Canis lupus familiaris: one gene and its partner. The protein of the gene in region 1 interacts with the protein of each later gene in a pairwise test. Links are inferred from orthologs where the notes say so. Each region holds a gene or a part of one and is shown in the gene's direction. Other genes may lie near its edges. The genes, in order: BPTF and MAZ.

Evidence for each region.
Region 2: the proteins of BPTF (region 1) and MAZ interact in a two-hybrid assay, tested with the Homo sapiens proteins (2 studies listed by BioGRID). The link is inferred for Canis lupus familiaris from reciprocal best matches to the Homo sapiens genes BPTF and MAZ.

The regions. Positions count from the first base shown.
Region 1 is NC_049230.1:14,279,596-14,283,402, forward strand, and holds part of BPTF (nucleosome-remodeling factor subunit BPTF), read left to right. Parts: intron 1-1,062; coding exon 1,063-3,358; intron 3,359-3,807. UniProt on the Homo sapiens protein: Regulatory subunit of the ATP-dependent NURF-1 and NURF-5 ISWI chromatin remodeling complexes, which form ordered nucleosome arrays on chromatin and facilitate access to DNA during DNA-templated processes such as DNA replication, transcription, and repair.
Region 2 is NC_049227.1:18,029,605-18,034,141, forward strand, and holds the start of MAZ (myc-associated zinc finger protein), read left to right. Parts: upstream 1-1,564; 5' UTR 1,565-1,605; coding exon 1,606-1,797; intron 1,798-1,880; coding exon 1,881-2,737; intron 2,738-3,137; coding exon 3,138-3,201; intron 3,202-3,476; coding exon 3,477-3,648; exon of another isoform or gene 3,649-4,379; intron 4,380-4,465; coding exon 4,466-4,537. Other genes in the region: kinesin-like protein KIF22, read left to right, coding at 1-28, 118-165. UniProt on the Homo sapiens protein: Transcriptional regulator, potentially with dual roles in transcription initiation and termination.

The DNA.
Region 1 (3,807 bases):
AGGGCAGCCTGGGGGTGATAAGATTGTAATGGATCTGGTTCGCACAGCAGGAGAGGTACTGCCTTATGTTTCTTTAATAGCAGCTTTATTGAATCACAGCTCATTTACTATATAACTAACCCATTTAGAATGTACAGTGGTTTTTAGTATTTCACAGAGCTGTTCAGCTGTCACCACAGTCCATTTTAGAACATTTTCACCACCCCAAAAATAAACTTCATACTCCTTAGTACCCAGTTTCTAATCCTCCCTAAATCCCCCCAGCCTACTAGTCTACTTACTGTCTCTATGGATTGGCCCTATTTTGGATATTCTGTATGAATGGAATCACGTAATACATGGTCTTTTGTGACTTGGTGTAATGTTTTCAGGATTCACCCATGTTATAGCATATGTCAGCATTTTATCATTCCTTTTTAGTTCTGAATAATAGTCCATTGTATGGACGTGCCACATTTTGTTTATCCATTCATCAATTGATGGACTTTTGGGTTGTTTCTACTTTTTGGCTATTATGAATACTGATAAGGACATCCTTGTACAAGTTCTTATGTAGACATATGTTTTCATCCCTCTTGGGTAAAGACCTAGTAGTGGAATCCCAGGTCATGAGCTAATAACTCTGTGTCCAGCCTTCTGAGGAACTTATACTGTCTTTTGTGAAAAGTCATTCTTTAAAAACTAGGTAAGCTAGATAATGTATAAGCCTTAAGATATTTTATGACTATGAAATATCTTACATAAAATTTTCCATGAAGGTACTGGAGTATGGGGTAACTGTCACATGCTAAGTAATTTTTCTTTTAACATTCCAACTTCAGATACTAAGAATCAGAGTATTTAAATATTTACAAAATGTCTGTTTTTTAACCTTTTATAAAGTTTAGCCCTGTCCATTGACCTATCTTAATCATGTATCAGGAGCTTTCAAATATGTATATTTACACTGAAGCCCCGTGAGTGAAATGAAAATAAACATTGGTGGTTTTTAAAATAAAAATATTGTGAATTCCACATTTGAGACTAAAAGTTAGCACTTACATAAATGTGTTTGTTTCACAGATGTACAAGAAATTTTAGATTCTGACAATGAGAAACCCTTTAAGGAAGAACCAATGGAGATAGATGATGATGTGAAAACAGAGCCGCATATAAACTGTCAGGAAGGTTCTCAAGTAGATGTGGTCAATGTCAGTGAGGGCTTCCATCTAAGGACTAGTTATAAAAAGAAAATTAAATCATCCAAACTAGATGGACTTCTTGAAAGGAGAGTTAAACAGTTTACACTGGAAGAAAAACAGCGCCTTGAGAAAATGAAGTTGGAGGGTGGAATTAAGGGTATAGGGAAGACGTGTACAAGTTCTTTGAAAAGCCTTTCTGAATCATCAGTAATAACAAAAGCAAAAGAAGGGTGTCAAAGTGACTCGCTTAGACAAGAACAAAGCCCTAACACAAGTAATGGTAAAACTGAAGATGTGATTCGAGGATGTTCACAAAGCGATTCCTCAATTCTTAGAATCAATGATCCTGATCATACAACAAACAGACTTTATCCAAAAGAGCAAATGTTAGATGACATCTCCATTCAGAGCCCAGAGACAAACTGTCAGAAACAGAATTCTGTTGGAAATGACATAAATGAGAGTCTCTCTCAACCTACCAGTCAAGGCCAGGAACTTAATAAGGTTAAAACAAGAGGAAGTGACTTTCTCATTGATGACTCCAAACTAGCCAGTGCAGATGGAATTGGTACTTTGATCTATAAGAACAAAAAAACACTCATACAGGAGGATAATGACACCATTGTTTCTCCTTCCCAGAGCCCTTCACTTCCATCAGTACCTAAAAGTACTGATGATAGAGATCCCCCATCTCTGTCAAAAGCAGTAGACTTTGAAGGAAAACTAGGATGTATCTCTGAATATAACAGCACTTTGGAAAATAGTTCTGATACTATGTCTATTCAGGACAGCAGTGAAGAAGATATGATTGTTCAGAATAGCAATGAAAGTCTTTCTGAGCAATTTGTAACTCAAGAACAAGGTATTGAAGGCTTGGAACCATTGAAACGTGAGTTTGTTCCAGATAAGTCCACTAGCAACTATAAGAGACCACAGGGTAAGGTAACTGAAGCAAATGGTAGGAAGCCAAGTCAAGAACAGAAATTAGAGGAGAGATCAGTTAATAAATGTATTGATCAAATCAATCTAAAAAGTAGCACTGACAGAAAGAATAATGAAAATAGAGAGTCTGAAAAGAAAGGACAGAAAGCAAGTACTTATCAAATAAATGGAAAAGATAATAAACCCAAAACATATTTAAAAGGGGAATCCTTGAAAGAAATCTCTGCGAGTAAAGTAGCAAGTGGTGATCTTGAATCAAAGCTTAATAATATAAATAAAATAATTCCTGAAAATGATATTAAGTCATTGACTGTTAAAGAATCTGCTGTAAAGCCATTCATGAATGGCGATGTCATCATGGAAGATTTTAATGAAAAAAACAACTTGGAAACAAAATCACGTTTACTGAGATCTTCAGATGCTGCATGCGACTACCAAGATGGCCTAGACACCCTGCCATCAACCAAAGAGTCTGAGACCATGCCTCCACTGTCTTGTCCAGAAAACAGTTCAACAAATCAGGTAGAAGATATGGAAATTGAAACCTCAGAAGTTAAGAAAGTTACTCCCTCACCTATTACTTCTGGAGAGGAATCTAACCTCAGTAATGATTTCGTTGATGAAAATGGTCTGCCCACCAACAGAGATGAAAATATCAACGGAGAGTCTAAGAGAAAAACAGTTATCACAGAAGTCACCACCATGACATCCACGGTGGCCACAGAATCAAAAACTGTAATCAAAGTAGCAAAAGGGGATAAGCAGACTGTGGTCTCTTCCACAGAAAATTGTGCCAAGTCCACTGTCACAACCACCACTACAACAGTCACAAAGCTATCCACACCCTCCACAGGCAGCAGTGTGGACATCATCTCTGTGAAGGAGCAGAGCAAAACTGTGGTCACCACAACAGTGACAGATTCGCTGACCACTGCAGGGGGCACTCTAGTGACATCTATGACCGTGAGCAAAGAGTATTCCACAAGAGATAAAGTGAAACTCATGAAATTTTCAAGACCCAAGAAGACTCGTTCAGGTACAGCTCTGCCATCGTATAGAAAGTTTGTCACCAAGAGCAGCAAGAAGAGCATATTTGTTTTACCTAATGATGACTTAAAAAAGTTGGCCAGGAAAGGAGGAATCCGAGAAGTCCCTTATTTTAATTACAATGCAAAACCTGCCTTGGACATATGGCCTTATCCTTCTCCTAGACCAACCTTTGGTATCACTTGGAGGTATGTACTTTAAAATGTATTTGGGGAAGGGAGAAAGTCTTAAAAGCATTTTTGAGTAAGCATATCTCATTTTTTACAGAAAAAAAATGAGATAATAAGAGGGAAGCAGAAATTTAATAAGCCAGGTTAGTAATGGAAATAAGATAACAGAGAATCTTGAATTTGGCTGGCTGGGAGGTACTCAAGTTTACTTAGGGTAAAACTTTAGGGGAAAATGTTAAGAGACTTGAAAAGATCTAAATCTTTAAAATGAAATTGAGTTTTACTTTCCTCAAGACAGAAGAAACATGTCAAATATAGTTGGTTTTGTGGTTTAACTTTCTGAGTTATTGCCATGTGTTTGCCTTGGGAATGAGAATAAGAGACTTGGATAGTCCACTTTCTGGAATGTTTGTATTTTATTTCTATTAGGTAATTCATAGAAACATAAGACATAGGAAACATGCCTG
Region 2 (4,537 bases), on another chromosome or scaffold:
CGGGAAACAGATGGAATCATTCCTGAAGGTGAGCCCACCGCTTAGCCCCCTCCCTTCCCCAGCCTGTGCCCCGCACCCAGCTTTAATGCCCCTCTCCCTTTCCCTCCTGTGTTGCAGGCGAACATCCTGGGTCTCGCCGCGTGCCAGCGCAGCGGCCCCTCCTGACTGCCAGCTCCTTTCCTCTGTCATTTTTTTTTTAATCCTTATATAATTGCGTGTCGTGTAAATACAATTTTTACTCCGGTGTTTCAGCCTGATTCTTGGGACTGTGGGGGCGGGGCCAGGGGGTATAACTGCCCTTGGGTTGGGCCACAAGCTCCTCGGCATAACTTCTTCGGGCGCCATCTTTGGGAAAAGCTGGCAGGAACGAAGCGGGGTAGGATTGTAAATAAACCGCTGGCGTGGGGAGGGGGAAACGACGGTGGCCGAAAGGAAACAAAAAAGTAACGCGAAAGCCCGCGGACGGCGACCGTTAGGCGGGCGCGCGCTTCGAGTTTAGCCCCGCCCCATCCGTACCCCCGGCGCGCGCTCCCCTGTTCTCCCGCTCAGCAACGACAGCGGTTTTATGCGCGTGCGCGCGAAATAACGGCCGCTGGAGAAGGGAGGAGGGGGGGTGGAATCTTTGAAGGGGGGGGAAGAGAGAAGCCGCCCTGTCTCCCGCGCGCCCACCACCTGCGCCATCGTCAGCCAATCAGCGGCCGTCTCAGGGGTCTCGCGCTTGGGGCGACTCCGGCTGCTGGGTGGCTCCCCCGTCCCTCCTCCCGCCAGAGTCCCTCTCGTACCTCCCCCCTCCCGCTGGCCTCGCGCGCGCTCGCGCTCGCGCCCGCTCCAGCCTCTTGTGTGTCCTCGCGCCCCCCGCCCGCCCTCCCCGCGCGCAGTGTGCTCCGCTCCCCCCACCCTCCTCCTCCTTCCCCCCTCCCGCTCGCCCCGCGCGCCTCCTCCCTGGGTTCCCCCTCCCCCACTGCCGCCTCCTCCTCCTCCCGCCCCAGGGTGAGCGCGAGCCACCTCCCTCCCTCCCTCCGCCATGGATCCCGGCAACTGGAGCAGCTTCATCTTCCAGGTAACAACCCCCTCCCCCCGCCCCCCCACCCCCCCTTCCCACACCCCCTCCCGCCCGCCCTCCCTCCCGTCCCACCCCCCCTCCGCGCGCCCGGTGCGCGCGCAGCTGTCCCCCTCCCTCCCTCGCGCCCTCCCCCGCCCTCCCCGAGGCGCCGGCTGGGCGCGCGCGCGGCGGGGGCCGAGGCTGCTCCCTCGCTCCCCCCACCCCGCCCCGCCAGGCTCCAACCGCCGCCGCCGCCGCCGCCGCCGCCGCCGCCCGGGCCCCCGCCCCCCGCCCCCGGCCCCCGGCCCCCGGCCCCGCGGGGCCTCCCGCCCCCACCCAGGGGGCGTCGCCGCCGCCGTCGCCGCCGCGCTCCGCGGCCCGCCAGGCGCCCTCCTTCCCTCCCTCCCGCCGGCCGGGGTGCGCGGGCGGCGGGGCGGCCCGCGGGCCATGCGTTCGGCGCGGCCCAGCCCGGCCGGCCGGGGGCGGCGCCCCGAGCCCGGGCCCCGCGCGGCCCGCGCCCCCGGCCCCCGCTGAGCCCCGGGGGCCCCGCCGTGGCCGAGGCCATGTTCCCCGTGTTCCCTTGCACGCTGCTGGCCCCCCCCTTCCCCGTGCTGGGCCTGGACTCCCGGGGGGTGGGCGGCCTCATGAACTCCTTCCCGCCACCTCAGGGTCACGCCCAGAACCCCCTGCAGGTCGGGGCTGAGCTCCAGTCCCGCTTCTTTGCCTCCCAGGGCTGCGCCCAGAGTCCATTCCAGGTGAGTAGGGGCCGGCCGTGGCGGGCCGGGCCGGGAGGGCGCCGACCCGCGGCCGCGGCCCACACGGCGCCTTGTCTTCGCAGGCCGCGCCGGCGCCCCCACCCACGCCCCAGCCCCCGGCGGCCGAGCCCCTCCAGGTGGACTTGCTCCCGGTTCTCGCCGCCGCCCAGGAGTCTGCCGCCGCCGCGGCCGCCGCCGCAGCAGCTGCTGCCGCCGCCGCCGTCGCTGCTGCGCCCCCGGCCCCGGCCGCCGCCTCCACAGTGGACACAGCGGCTCTGAAGCAGCCGCCGGCGCCCCCGCCGCCGCCCCCGCCGGTGTCGGCGCCCGCGGCCGAGGCCGCGCCCCCTGTCTCTGCCGCCACTATCGCCGCAGCCGCGGCTACCGCCGTCGTAGCCCCAACCTCGACGGTCGCCGTGGCCCCGGTCGCATCTGCCTTGGAGAAGAAGACAAAGAGCAAGGGGCCCTACATCTGTGCCCTGTGCGCCAAGGAGTTCAAGAACGGCTACAATCTCCGGAGGCACGAGGCCATCCACACAGGAGCCAAGGCCGGCCGGGTCCCCTCGGGTGCTATGAAGATGCCCACCATGGTGCCCCTGAGTCTCCTGAGCGTGCCCCAGCTGAGCGGAGCCGGCGGGGGAGGGGGAGAAGCCGGTGCGGGCGGCGGAGCGGCCGCCGTGGCCGCGGGTGGCGTGGTGACCACGACCGCCTCGGGGAAGCGCATCCGGAAGAACCACGCCTGTGAGATGTGCGGCAAGGCCTTCCGCGACGTCTACCATCTGAACCGACACAAGCTGTCGCACTCGGACGAGAAGCCCTACCAGTGCCCGGTGTGCCAGCAGCGCTTCAAGCGCAAGGACCGCATGAGCTACCACGTGCGCTCACATGACGGCGCTGTGCACAAGCCCTACAACTGCTCCCACTGTGGCAAGAGCTTTTCCCGGTGTGCACGGGGCCTCGGCCGCCCACTGGGCGGGTGGGGAGGGAGGGACGGCAACGGAGGTGGCCTGGCCTTGGCTGGCGGGGAGGGAGGCGGTTTCTGAGGATGGGGACCGGGAGCCACTCCCCGGGAGGAGGGAGGAAAGCCTCTCCCGGTTACCAGGGAGCGGGGGGTGGTACTTAGCCAAGGAGGTGGGTCCTCCGGTTGTAAGAAAGCTTCGCGTGGGAGGAGGAGCAGCCCGCCCTGCGGCAGGGGGAGGGATTTCCTGCCACACCGGGACTCCGGAGCCTCGGGTCGGGGCGAATTGCGGGCGTCTTTGGAAGGGCCTGTTGCGCTAAGTTAGGCAGATTTGGGAGCACGTCCACACTCCAGGGCCCTAACCCCAACCCCAACGTATTCTCAGGCCGGATCACCTCAACAGTCACGTCAGACAAGTGCACTCAACAGAACGGCCCTTCAAATGTGAGGTAGGAAGCCCGCCTCCTCCTTTCCCGGTTTTCATGATTTTGATCCTCATTGTAGCTGTCTGAGCTCGGCCTCTCAGACCCCCTTTTTCTCTCTTTTCTTTTTGCTTTTTCACTCCATTTTCTCATCCCTTCTTCAAGACCTTGTCATCTCACTCCCATTTCCTACAGATCAAAGATCCCCAAGGCTCTGATTCCTTTAACCTCTTGTTCCCCTCTCCCTGCTCCCCGAAGCTCTAACTCTCCTGACAACCCCCACGCCCCTCCCCCCTCCCCAGAAATGTGAGGCAGCTTTTGCTACGAAGGATCGACTGAGAGCGCACACAGTACGACACGAGGAGAAGGTGCCATGTCATGTGTGTGGCAAGATGCTGAGCTCGGCTTATATTTCGGACCACATGAAGGTGCACAGCCAGGGCCCTCACCATGTCTGTGAGCTCTGCAACAAAGGTACATGCTGAGGGATGCTGGGAGGGCCAGGGACAAAGGGCAGGGGCAAAGCCAGAGGCCCTTCCACAGATGTGGGTTAAAGGTGCTGTAGCCAAGAGCTCACGGCTATTAGAGCCTTTTAGGAAGCAAGGGGAACAACATCCGACGACCGAACCTCATTAAGTTCTAAGAGGTCTTGACTGGAGGAGATGAGCTACTAGCAAGAGTGGGCCTCTGGGGGTGGGGAGGAGGAGCAGGATTCGGCTGCTTTGGGAAAGGAGCAAGGAGCAGTCAAGAGAGCCAGTTCCCAAGGGTTGGAAGGCAGGGTTTCAGCTGTGCATCCACAATGGTGTGCTCTTTGGCTTCTGGGGCAAGTGGAGTATGCTGGCAGGGGATTAACAAGCTCGCACCCTGCCCTAGTAGCAGAAAGCTGCTTTTATACAGCTTCACAGATTGACTGAGCAATTGGAATGAGACCGTATGGGGCCCTGGAGGGAGGGGACACAGCCGTCTCTGCTGAGGGTCAACTCTTCGAGTGGCTAGAAATCAGTGGCCTGTCACCCCGGGAGAGGTCCCCCTAGCCACAGAAAATAGGTTCTGTGGACACCAAGGCTGAGAAGCTGACACCACTCACCCAGGCCCCAAGCTTAGGGAGGGGCGATGTTCCACCAGCCCCAAGAGAGTAGTTGGCCCCAGGCTACCAAGGATGTGGTGGGAGGAGGACAGGGCCATCTGAGGAGGGCGTCCCCGGCCTAGGAGAACCACCCCGTCTCTGGGGTCTCCGCCTGGCTGACCCCCCATCCCCCCATCCCAATCCACCCCCCCCCCCCCCCAATAGGCTTCACCACAGCAGCATACCTGCGCATCCACGCGGTGAAGGACCACGGGCTCCAGGCCCCGCGGGCTGACC